3 linked regions of the Bombyx mori genome follow. The protein of the gene in region 1 interacts with the protein of each later gene in a biochemical or structural test. Links are inferred from orthologs where the notes say so. Each region holds a gene or a part of one and is shown in the gene's direction. Other genes may lie near its edges.

What was found. The genes of interacting proteins can lie anywhere in the genome.
Region 2: of the proteins of DNA replication licensing factor MCM4 (region 1) and cell division cycle 7-related protein kinase, one has a biochemical effect on the other in vitro, tested with the Homo sapiens proteins (2 studies listed by BioGRID). The link is inferred for Bombyx mori from reciprocal best matches to the Homo sapiens genes MCM4 and CDC7.
Region 3: the proteins of DNA replication licensing factor MCM4 (region 1) and uncharacterized protein LOC100286771 form a complex in vitro, tested with the Homo sapiens proteins (2 studies listed by BioGRID). The link is inferred for Bombyx mori from reciprocal best matches to the Homo sapiens genes MCM4 and MCMBP.

The regions. Positions count from the first base shown.
Region 1 is NC_085125.1:2,572,611-2,576,213, forward strand, and holds part of DNA replication licensing factor MCM4, read left to right. Parts: intron 1-1,092; coding exon 1,093-1,216; intron 1,217-2,325; coding exon 2,326-2,432; intron 2,433-3,257; coding exon 3,258-3,392; intron 3,393-3,603. UniProt on the Homo sapiens protein: Acts as a component of the MCM2-7 complex (MCM complex) which is the replicative helicase essential for 'once per cell cycle' DNA replication initiation and elongation in eukaryotic cells.
Region 2 is NC_085121.1:308,879-313,225, reverse strand, and holds the start of cell division cycle 7-related protein kinase, read left to right. Parts: upstream 1-1,485; 5' UTR 1,486-1,915; coding exon 1,916-2,015; intron 2,016-2,995; coding exon 2,996-3,221; intron 3,222-3,643; coding exon 3,644-3,737; intron 3,738-4,347. UniProt on the Homo sapiens protein: Kinase involved in initiation of DNA replication. Phosphorylates critical substrates that regulate the G1/S phase transition and initiation of DNA replication, such as MCM proteins and CLASPIN.
Region 3 is NC_085117.1:15,219,576-15,223,770, forward strand, and holds the start of uncharacterized protein LOC100286771, read left to right. Parts: upstream 1-1,333; 5' UTR 1,334-1,690; coding exon 1,691-1,798; intron 1,799-1,870; coding exon 1,871-2,053; intron 2,054-2,976; coding exon 2,977-3,333; intron 3,334-3,432; coding exon 3,433-3,679; intron 3,680-4,195. UniProt on the Homo sapiens protein: Associated component of the MCM complex that acts as a regulator of DNA replication.

The DNA.
Region 1 (3,603 bases):
TATTCATATGCACTGTACATAATATTATATTGTTAGCAAAAGTATTGTTATCGGGGACCATCAAATAATATGTGCCCGAAATTTATGAAAAAAATTCCTCTCTGAAAAAAATTGACTAACATTTAAGTCATAACTATTATATTATTGTATCTTGGTGAGATGTTCTAGAGATTGTTATTCTCTTTCTACTCAGCATCTATCAACAGCTGGGTTTTAATCACCTTACTTACACACCGAGCACACTGACAGTACTGTTTGTTCACCCACTTTGTCGTATTTAAATAATAACTTGGATAGTTTTATAGAATTTATTAAACGTAACTTTTTAGAGACAAACAATCTGTTTAAATTTTGCAGCAGTAATGGAGGGAAAAATGCAATGACACAGATTATACCTATAAAATAGATTAACCAACTCAACAGTACTCTCTCTAACAATGTTTAATATACCTTGAGCTATTATAGTAGTTACACACATCTAACCCAATAGGAATAGACCATCAGCATCAAGCTCATTCTTACTATAACTCTAACGGTGAAGTATACTGCGGCAATACAGTGTGCTTAGTGCGAGTTTTTGGAACGAAGTTCCTTATCGCGCGTTGTGAAAGGGGGCTAGACGGAAAAAATTCTTACGAAAAGTTGTCACGACACTTTTTAGATCCGTCATTCTGACCAATCAACGTGTAGGCGCTTATCGCATGACATTGCTCGTATCCGATTGGTCCGCGTAATGAGTACAGTTTCTCGAGATAGCGTTTCAACAATAGTAATTTAGTTCATAGTATTGTTTTTTTCTTCTTCATAATGCCGTAATTTATTATTATAACTTAAAAAAAAATTACAATTCCTTCACTAATTAATCGAAAGGAACTTCGTTCCATCCGGGTGTCCCTTGACACCTCTGAAGTTTTTTTTTAACATTATTGATAGCGTAAAAGTTAACCTAAATATTGCATGGAATGGGATCGTTTGCCTACGTTTGCCGCTAGGGGCGCTGTTCCAACTACATACAAAAATGGCTTAACTTTTACGCTATCGAGAACGTTAAGAAACTCGCACTAAGCACACTGGTTTCATGTATAATTTCAGGTTCGACTTAATATTCCTCGTGCTGGATCCACAAGACGAAGTGTTCGACAGACGTCTGGCCTCGCACCTGGTGTCCCTGTACTACAAAGACCCGAACGATCCTCAAGATGACGAGGATGCTATTGTTAGTAAATCATGAAACTAAACTACTAAGCATATAAATTTGATTTATCTTTGTCTGCAATTTGTAACACATACAAAATGGACAATATTTTTTTTTATATTTTTTTTAAACCGCACTACTGTATAATTTGTTACAAGTTTTTTTTTAAGTTCTTTAGGCGCGTTATGAAAAATTGATGAGAGTGAAATTTTACGATGCTCACGCACCGTGACACAAAATTAACAAAATGAAGTTGCCCACTAAATCGTCATTACAATACGGCCGACGTAACTTGGCGAGTCTGAATATAGCCGCAGGTGAACTTTCCGAACCGTACCGAGAATTACCGAATTTATACGATGCCAAGAAAAGGGATGTCCAATATGCGTGTTTGAGGATGTTGTTTAATCGATTTTTTTTTCAAATTGATTAAAATTGAAATAAAAAAAAAAAATAGAAATAAAATATAACTTCTTACGCGCGTACATAAGTACACACACCCTTTTTTATGTTTATATAAGATTACTCACCTAGTGAATATGCCACTCCATTGTGCAACAAAAGAGAGAAACAAAATAATTATATAACAAAAAATAAAGGAAACTGTTATCGTCTCTGAAGGCCCACCAAAACTATTTTGTAAAGTGACTTAGCCATTTCTGATTCCGGAAAAGGTTTTTACGTAATTTATACCTCCAACTTGTCGACAATTTGTATATTTTGCAAATAATTGTTGTCTCAAATCATCATTCTGCACACACTCCATCATAATGTGAAAAGCATCTTCCACTACATCGCAAACTGAACACTCGGGATCAGGAGTCTTCCCCATTAAATGAGCAAATTTATTGAGTGGGATGTGCCCGGGACGAAGTCTGAAAACAGTCATTAGTTCTATTAAGGTTACAAGAATCAAACTACGGAGTTTTCCACGGTAGACTTTGAATTGTTTAGTACCACACACCTTTTTCCAAAGACCTTTCATCGAAATATACCTTCCATAGACGATAACATTCCTCACTTACTAAGTTTCATAATTTTTTGATGTCCAAGGACTTCATAAACAAGTCCAATACTAAAAAAGCATAAGATCTTGGAGTTTCCAGGTGTAAGTGTGTGTTATTGAACAGGATATAAGTCTGATGCGGGACTACATAGCCTTCGCGAAGGAGCACGTGCAGCCCACGCTCAGCGAGACGGCGCAGCAGCGGCTCATAGACGCCTACGTCGACATGAGGTTCGCTCTTCTATTATACTTAGATCAACTGTAATCATCAATAAAAGAGACTCGATATTATTCTATATATTACAACACGTGAATCAAAAACGGTATCCCTTTTTACGAATATTGCGCGGACAGAGAGGACTATGTAATTTTCCATACTTATAGAGAATATAGAGGAGCGCAGAATGCAGTTTTTTTTAAATTATACATAAAATCATTAACAAAAACATTACACATTTACCATGTATTTGACACACACACCCACCCATATATACTCTTTTGTTTATTGTTAAAGTCTGTGATCAAATTAACAATAGATTAATATTGTTTATCTTTAATATTATTTGTCTATAGTGTAGCCTTGGCAAAAATTATGATTACAGAAGTAAAGTCTTGAACAATAGAAGCTTAATAATGTTCAAACTTATAATTTCAATTAATTATGGTCGAATTTCGAACGCTAACCGTCCACTAGTACATCTTAAATTGCCTTTGTAAAAGAACTATATACAATAAAAGATCACTATTTGCGGAGCACAAACACGGAGTATGCCGTGAATACAGAAACCGTGAATATAGAATGGTGCTCTATGGTAATCTACATAATATGAAAAGGATTATAGGGGATACGTTCTTAGGTGACAAAATAAAACATACTTTAGCCGTAGTTGTAATAAGGTATATTTTAATTTTATTATTAGTCCACTTAAAGGCACATTTATAGAGGATATTCGGTTGGATACTTACCTTTTGTCAATTAAAGAAAACGCGAATAAGGAGTTTTTATTGTACTTCTTTCTCGTTTCCATAATTAAACTGTTTTTATATATGTAACAGGCGTGTGGGCAGCGGCCGAGGTCAGATATCGGCGTATCCGAGGCAGCTCGAATCTCTCATCAGGTTGGCGGAAGCGCACGCCAGGGTTCGACTTTCTTCCGTTGTTGAACTGATAGACGTAGACGAAGCGGCGAGGTAATTTAGCATAATATATATTAAACGTCGGTTTAGTAGACAAATCTAATGTAATCCAGGATTATAAAACTTTTTACTGGTGGTGGGACGTCTTGTGAGTTCACACGGGTAGTTACCAACACCCTGCCTGCGTCTGCCGTGAAGCAATAATGCGTTTCGGTTTGAATGGCGGGGTAGCCATTGTAATCTAAAAACGAAGACCTTAGAACTC
Region 2 (4,347 bases), on another chromosome or scaffold:
AATAACGCAATATAAATAATAATGCAGACTAAGGTGCATCGTTTCATATAAAGACGATTTGTGGCTAAAGCGCGGCAGAACAGATTTGGCATGAGTAGCGGAAACACACATCGTTTGTACTATTTACTATTTTTTTTAGAAAATAAACTCAGTGCCAGCCACAGCTTCCTTTTTTTTAAAGGATCCACACCGTAACAGTACGGCTGTGATTTTCGTGGGGTTAATGTCGACGCGCATGCCACTTCCGGAACCACTGTCCTAAAGTGGTGGCCGCGATCTTTAGTTTATAATGCATGAACGACATTTTCCTGCTCGAGTATGTAGCATGTTAAAAATTACTTGTAACATTATATTGTAATTATTACATACATTGTAAGATGTAAAACTAGATTTAAATTTTAATAATTAATTGTGTGTTGAATGGACAAATGTTTCTCATAACTTCACTCTCTTCTCCTTCTTTGTGTGTGTTCTTTCTGTGTGCTTAGTGAGAGTTTTTTAACGTTCTGGATGGTGTAAAAGTTAGCTTATATTTGTATGGAATAGGATCGTTTGAGTACGTTTGCCGCTAGGGGCACTGTTCCAAGTAGACAAAATTGGGTTAACTTTTACGCTATCGAAAACGTTAAAAAACTCTCACTAAGCACACTGTTCTTTGACAATAAACTGATAGTGTTTTAAACTGTGCGGGTGGTTTAATTTTACAACACTTCAAGTACTTGATAGGCGTATCATTAGCGAAAAGAGTCAACTGTAAGCTAAAAAGTAGTAGTGAGAGAACGGAGCCTTGTAGGACTCCGGCTGACGTTTGTCGCTTCCTGTCGACCAACTCCGTCTGTTCGGGATTAGCAGTTTGAGCACTGGTGGAGCATTGCTCTTGCAGTATATCTGCTAGTTGGCCTGAGGCCCATACGAAAAGATGCGTAGTGGCGATAGTTTCCAATTGGAGGGTCGCCTAGCTAGTCGCCAATATGCTTGATGAAAAGGTGCGAGTCCTTCTAAATAACTTTCCCACTTTGTATTTCGGGTTTCATCTAGGTGTAGCGGCGTAGACGACGCATCCGAATCTGGTTTATTCGCAACATCGTGAAAGTTATTCATGAATATGTTTTAAGTAGATACGTATTTCACTAGAAAAAATAATTGCTGTCTGCTGGACTCGAATATTGGTATTATCGTATCGTTCGACATAAATGCATCGGGCATCATTTAGGCCACAACCCATTCCCGATCCTGCGGACAGAATGGAAAGCAGTCGACGTCGCCCAAAACACGTCATCTCGGATCCTCCCGATCCACTAACGGTGCTTTTAGGTACTTCAAGCACCGGTCACCGTTCTCGTCGAACCCGACGCTTGCGTCGAAGGGCTCGACGAGCAAATTAACTCTCAGACACAGCCCACTGAGTTTCTCGCCGGATCTTCTCAGTGGGTCGCGTTTCCGATCCGGTGGTAGATTCTGCGAAGCACGACTCTTGCTAGGGTTCGTGTTAGCAACATCGTCAGGTTTGAGCCCCGTGAGCTCACCTACTAAAGTTAGGGTTACGCTGACATAGCCTCTCAAGGCTCTCAGCTTAGGTAGGAGAAAAAAAAAAAAAAATAGGCCACAACCACTCCGTCATCATGATATTCCATAATCCATTTTAGGATATTCGTTCTCTTCATTCACTTGTGTTTTAATATTCGTGTAACAGATAAGGCCTTTTTTTATATTCGATAATTTATGTCATGAAAATAAAATTAAGAGTCACGGCTGTACAATGTGATTTCTTCGCTTTCTTGTATTCGAAAACTAAGAAATTTCAATTGTTTTGTGTTTCTTGTTTCTCCGTTCCCGTGTTATTTATTTTATAATTTACAATATTCAGCAAAACAACCCATATGAGGAAATATAACTACTCATAAATTAAACCAATATGTCCAGATCTAGGGGATTTGAAATAAGAGAAGGGTTACGTTCTCATAAAAAGCTCAAAGAAAATAAAAATGAAAATGAGACTTCTGATTCTTCTGAACGTAAGTTTAGATAAAAAATAATAAGAATAATTATTTTAAAAAAAGTAAATTAAAAATCGTATTAACGTACTTTGACTGACCTGGTGGTGCAGTAGTTAGCGCCCTAGACTATTGTACCAGGGCTCGTGGGTTTGACTCCCGGGCAAACGTGTACCCATATCACGGAATCCTGATTTGGGGCCGGATGATCGTGCATGACTTGTTTACTGTTATTTATTATTAATTACATATGTACAAAACAATTCAATTAGTTGAAGTCAATTAAATTTGCATCACTTATGGATACATAGTTCAAAAACTACTGGTCAGATCTCAATAAACTTTAAATAGGAGCACATGAGAACCATCGCTCTTCAAATAAAAAAGAATCATTAAAATATCCTAAAAAAAGTTCTAAGAAAAGTAAAAAAAATGTATATCTCCTCCCCTTTTGAAGTCGTTTTTAAAAAGACAGAAATATAACGATTTGTAAATAGAAGATAGATCATATTACTTTCATAAGCATCGTGAATGTCAATCAAAGTATTACCTTATGTATTAGCCTTAATATTACACTTATTATGAGAAGAACCATCTCTCAATAGATTGAACCTAATTATTTTATTATATCTGTTATATAACCACCATAATACCTGTGGTGAAATGAAGTAGACAGGTATAATTTTTTCTTATAAAATACACACAACTTAATACATGTTCCTGAATGACTTCCGCCATAACTTAGTGAATAAGAATCAAACACACAAAAATGTAACTTATACAATAGTTAGTACAACTGAGACAGTTGTTTTCAAGTCTTATGGTGATTGGCAGCATTCACATTGTGATTTTTATATGCTCTGGTAACCACCTAACATCAGATACTACATGAGATTGTTCACCCGATTACACAGTGAAGACAAAACTGTGTCATTAAACACATAGACATCCAATAAATAAGTACATTAATAATTTAAAATAATTATTGTATTTATCTCTAGGTGAACAAATATGTGAACTTTTATATAAGCTACCAAAACTGGACAAGATTTTTGAAGTGCACCGAAAGATAGGAGAAGGAACATTTAGTTCAGTGTATTTAGGCTCACTGAGACAGCATTCATCTTTGCTAGACAAAGACAAGCGTTGGTTTGCCATAAAACACTTGGTACCTACTGCACATCCAGCTCGGATTGAACACGAGTTAAGGTGTCTACAGGACATAGGGTATGTTTTAAAAATGAATCTGCATCATTACTAATATACACAGGCATTATGTCCCATATATTTATTTGACTAGAATTTATTTTAAAGTACAATCTACGTAATTACTTATCACCCCATGGGATGTTGTTGCCATCTGCTCATCTAAAAATGACACAGGAATCTGCCATTCATGGATCAAGGTCAAATCTACACAAGGGCACGTCATTATGTGTGAACATCATCATTTGTTGTTACAGATGAGGTTATTAAGTCGTAATCCTAAATCTTGTTGAATTTATATCTATATGCTATGAGTAACAAGACCATCATTAACTGAATAGTACCACATTGGCACATGAGTTAATGTGTGTTTGAATGTCTAGCTTGTGTAGAGGTATTTATCCATTAATTTAATTGAACATTTTACGTGTGTTATATTACAGAGGCAAACATCATGTGATTGGAGTGGAGCTCTGTCTTCGTAATCTCGACACTATTGTATTTGTAATGCCCTATCTACCTCATAAAAAGTTTTCTGTGAGTATGTCAGTCAATCTATATAAACAATATTTCAAACATTAATAGCATCATGGAACATTTACTTATCTGTTGGAAAAATAATACTCAAAGTTTCAGTTGAATCTAAATTAGTCTTATGGAAAGATAATATGTGTTAATGAACATTCAGTTTCATAAAGTATTAGACAGAAAATCATTAATTGTGTCAAAACTGCCATGACAATAGTTAGTTTTTTAATGAAATTATTTTCATTTCAGAAAATATCATATAAAGTTAATATTTTACACAATGCAAAGTACTAAAAGCAAACAAGCTTAAGAGTAGAATATTTTTTTTTGATAATTGATTAATGATGATGTTGGTGATTTGATTTTTAATGACCAGGATAATGGCAGATCAATATACAATACAATAAATTAAATAAATTCATTAACTTTGATTTTGTGTTGAAAACAGTTTTACAAAACATTAAAACTCTTTCACACCTTACAGTCCAAAACTGTTGTGCGACCATGTACTGAAAATCTATACTAATATTATAAAGAGGAAAGATTTGTTTGTTTGTTTGTTTCGAATAGGCTCCGAAACTACTGGACCGATTTGAAAAATTCTTTTTCCATTAGAAGC
Region 3 (4,195 bases), on another chromosome or scaffold:
TACGCTACTATAGAAAATGCCCCATCTGGTGTGCACTTTTTCTTCTTTTCCTAGCGTTTTCCCGGTCTAGTGTCAGGGTTCGCTTTCCTACTTAAACTTCTCCACTTTGGTCGGCCTTGGACATCCTTCTGGGCGAGGTTATTCTCCTCCAATCTGCTTTTGCCACATCCAACCAGCATTTCTTGGGCCTACCGCGGGATCTTGAACCTGGTACATAGAAGTTGAGGTATCTATTTCCGACGTAGTCTGGGGTCCTATGGTTTATATGGCCGTACTATCGTAGATGAATTTCGTGCAGCTCATCTGCTACGTTATGAACTCCAACGCTGCCGTTGATGTAGTCGTTAGGAATGTGATCTAGTCGTGTAACGCCACACATCAACCGCAGCAGCTTCATTACAGTAACGTGCAGTTTCGAAACATGTCTTACGAAGGCCGGCCATGATTCGCTGCCATAGAATAGGACTGGTCGAATGATGTACTTGTACACGAAGCCTTTTAGCTTTACCGGAACCCTGCGGTTGCACAGGACGCTCGTTACTCGAACTCGTGAAACACAAACTCTAAGTACTTGAATTTACTTGTCTTTACGACAAGTTCGTCATCTATCTTTATCGTTCCGTCGGTTCCGTCGTCTAGTTAGTCTAGTAGTACACTGAACAAAAAAGTACTCAGAGCCGAGCCTTGGTGTATACCCACAGAGATTGGGAATGGGCTAGTATTTTAGCATTGAGAGCTAGAGTTTGTGAGAACGTTAAAGTATTGTAGCACTGTTTTTAATTAAATTAAAATAATCAAAGATCTACATTTACTGTCTACCTGTACCGAGAGTCTTCCAATACTTATCAAGTATCTATGGTATATAGGCTGTATGGGCTTAGATCCCCTTGCCTTTCCAAATAAGGAAAATTTGTACAAAAAAAAATATCTAAGGTATTATCTATGGAGAGTAGGTATTATTTATGGAGTTTTATGACCTGGTAACTAAGATCTTTAAGTCAAGTAAATGAAAATGATTAATTTGGGAGATTAATCAACTGGAATGAAATTAAATGAAACGAGATGATATGGGATGAAATATAATCTCAGTAAAATAGTGGTCATTTACTGAGATTTTTTCAGCGGACTTTTTGGAGGATCCCGAGAAGTTACGTCCAGCGGCTTTATTTCATTTTCCCACCCTTGTGCACTTTTGCAGATATTAAACAGTTAATAAACCACCGTTATTCCACATTTAAACCTGAAGAAACACTAAATATACAAAATAAAACAAATCACACAACTTCACTCCTAGCGTTCCCGCCAAAACGTCGAGTAGGTATTTTACCAAGTCATAGATAATAAATAAACCAAGTGATTCTCTGTAAAAAATTTGCATAATTTCAAAATTTTCACTTTCATTATCGTACCGTACCGTACATTAAATAACAAAGTTATTACAATATCTAAGTAATACATACATGTTCAATATCGTACAACTCAAAACCCTTAACATAGATTTTTCACTAATTAATAAAATTCAGTATGTTTCAAAGAGTAAAGTAAAGTTAACAAAAACCACAAAAAAAGAAGTGCAATACGGTGCGGTATCATTGATGAGACTGAACTTTAATAAATTCTGATTCAGTTTATTGTATAACAACCAAAACATAACACACGATAATAGTATTAATGAATAAATTTTCTAATCATGCATGAAAATATCATGAGCGATATCGAAACAACGACGCCGGATCGATGGATTGAGAATGAAAAAATAATGAAGAGCAAGTTGATGAAATTACCAAATTGGTACCAGGTACGGAATTTATCATAAAACAGAAATCATTTTTGTAAAATTTATTAACTTGTCCTTTATTTGACCTTACAGATCCCACTAATTAATTCAAATGCTTCACATAATTTAACAGACGGAAACTTAGTGCGGTTCAGAGGCATGATCCAAGACATGCACAACCCTGAATTTTACTTTGAGAAATTTGAAGTATTTAACACAACAACAAATGAAGTAAAGGTTAAAAGTGGAAAATACAGAGATACTGCACATGTTTTGGTAAGGACCGAACATTAAGAAGTCTGCAAAAAAATATACACCGCGAATATTCCCTGTCATTGTTTCCGAAAATCCGAATACTTGGATACAGGAAGAAAGAGAATGAAACCACAAAAATTGTTAATTATAATGATTTTTTTAAATTTACTACTGAAATGCTGCCCATTCAAATTAACTTTTTCACTTGTTGAATATGTACGGTCAAAGTCACAACTTTCTCCTAGAGCAAGAGCCTCTTCGCAACAGACATATGCATGATAGACTATCACCATGAATTATTGGCATCTCTAAAGCTAGTTTCAGGATCAGTTAAAATAATCAATTTAATTATTTAAATATCTACCACTAATTCCAAAATAAGCCACACTTCTCAGAGGAACTGATGAAACAAGATAGTTGCTGATTGACAATACAATGTCAGGAGCTTACACCTCATTCCCATTTAGTGCTAAAAAGTATTATTAACTTTTAACTAACTATTAACTAAGTTATTAAGTTTGTAATATTTCTAATATTAACTTCCTGGAAGAACTGAGATAGTGCTTGTAAGATCCTTTTTATGTAAAGCATTAAAAATAAAACCAAAATGGAAGAATTACTAAGATCAAAGCTGTTCATGCAACCATATGCTTAATATACCTAAATGCTTAAGATATAGCTAAGTGTGCGTATAAAAAATATTAAAAATAAACGTTGACTAAAATCACTATATAAATTGTGTGCATGTACTTTTAAACAAAAATATAACATGTTGATATTTCTGTTAATGTTTGACAAACATTATGTTATGATATGAAATGAAATCTATTAATTGGGCTTCATGTGCATTTACAAGAAAATCTTCCTTTCCCCTCTTATAAAGGGCAGAATTTATTTACAACATTCATTATTATAGTAAATTAAATCAATATAAAATGTTTCAGGAAAATGAGAAAATTAACTATTCTGAGAACCTAATCAGTGGTCAGCGACAGACTTTAGTTGTTGTGTCTATACCTGGGTTAAATGACTGGGTCCAACAACTAGAAGATAAACAAAACTATTTGAAACATTTAGAAGAACCACCAAATACTTCCAAAAGGCTTCACCCAAGTACAAAGTTAAAAAGAAGCTACGATGATACAGAAGATAATTTGGATGAAATGGAAGTTGATAATGAAGCTGTGAATAAGGAAATGAAGATTTTAGATCACAAAGATAATACACCTGATGTGGTTTCAAGAGAACATTTGTTAAATTATCCTCTACCTGATGTACCTAGCAAATCTTGCATTGTTAAGGTATAAGAAAATCCAATAATATTGTTTCCATCCACATAGCAGTAGTAGTTAATAAATGAAAAGCTTTGGTTATGAAACTAAATAATAAATTGTTTTCAGATTTACAGTGACAATGAAAATCTCAAGCTCAATGACATGATAGAAGTCATTGGATTTCTTTCTGTAGATCCATCCCTATCAGGCGAATTCAAGGAAGATAAGGATTCTATGATAGAGCTCCAGATTGAGAGTAGTGTCGAAATTATAACTCATAATCCTCCACCAAGCTTAGTACCACGATTGCATGCTGTTCATGTACAAAAATTGGAACATTGCAATCCATTACTTTCAAATAGTGTTGATCAAGGTATCTAGCTAATTGAATTGCATATTTTTTTTGCTCGTACAAAATCACTGTCTACTTTGTGTTAAGTGGTTACTGGAGCTCATGGACTACAATGTGATTGCTAACACTCAGCCTTATTTGTATTTTGTTGTAGCTGTCACACCCTTCAACCTTGATGTCATTACTACTTTTTGGTAGACAATAATCAAAATGGTTATCACCATCCATATCAATGCAGTCTTGAAAAACCTAGTAATCTACCATTAGTACTAATAAAATTTATCTAAAGTTTAGAATATGAATGGAAGTATCCGACCAGCCATAGTATCTATCACACCCAAAAAGTAAAAACTCATAGCCATAAATCGACTGCTCCTACATACAAAGGGTCATGTCAAAAATGATGGCTTACAGGAGAGCGTTTTAAAGTTTCAATCTCATGTGTAATTGACTTAACATAAAAGTGACTTCTATCTTTCAGTATTGATTTCAAGTATTCAATTTAGGCAAGATATATTAATTATTTATAACATCCTC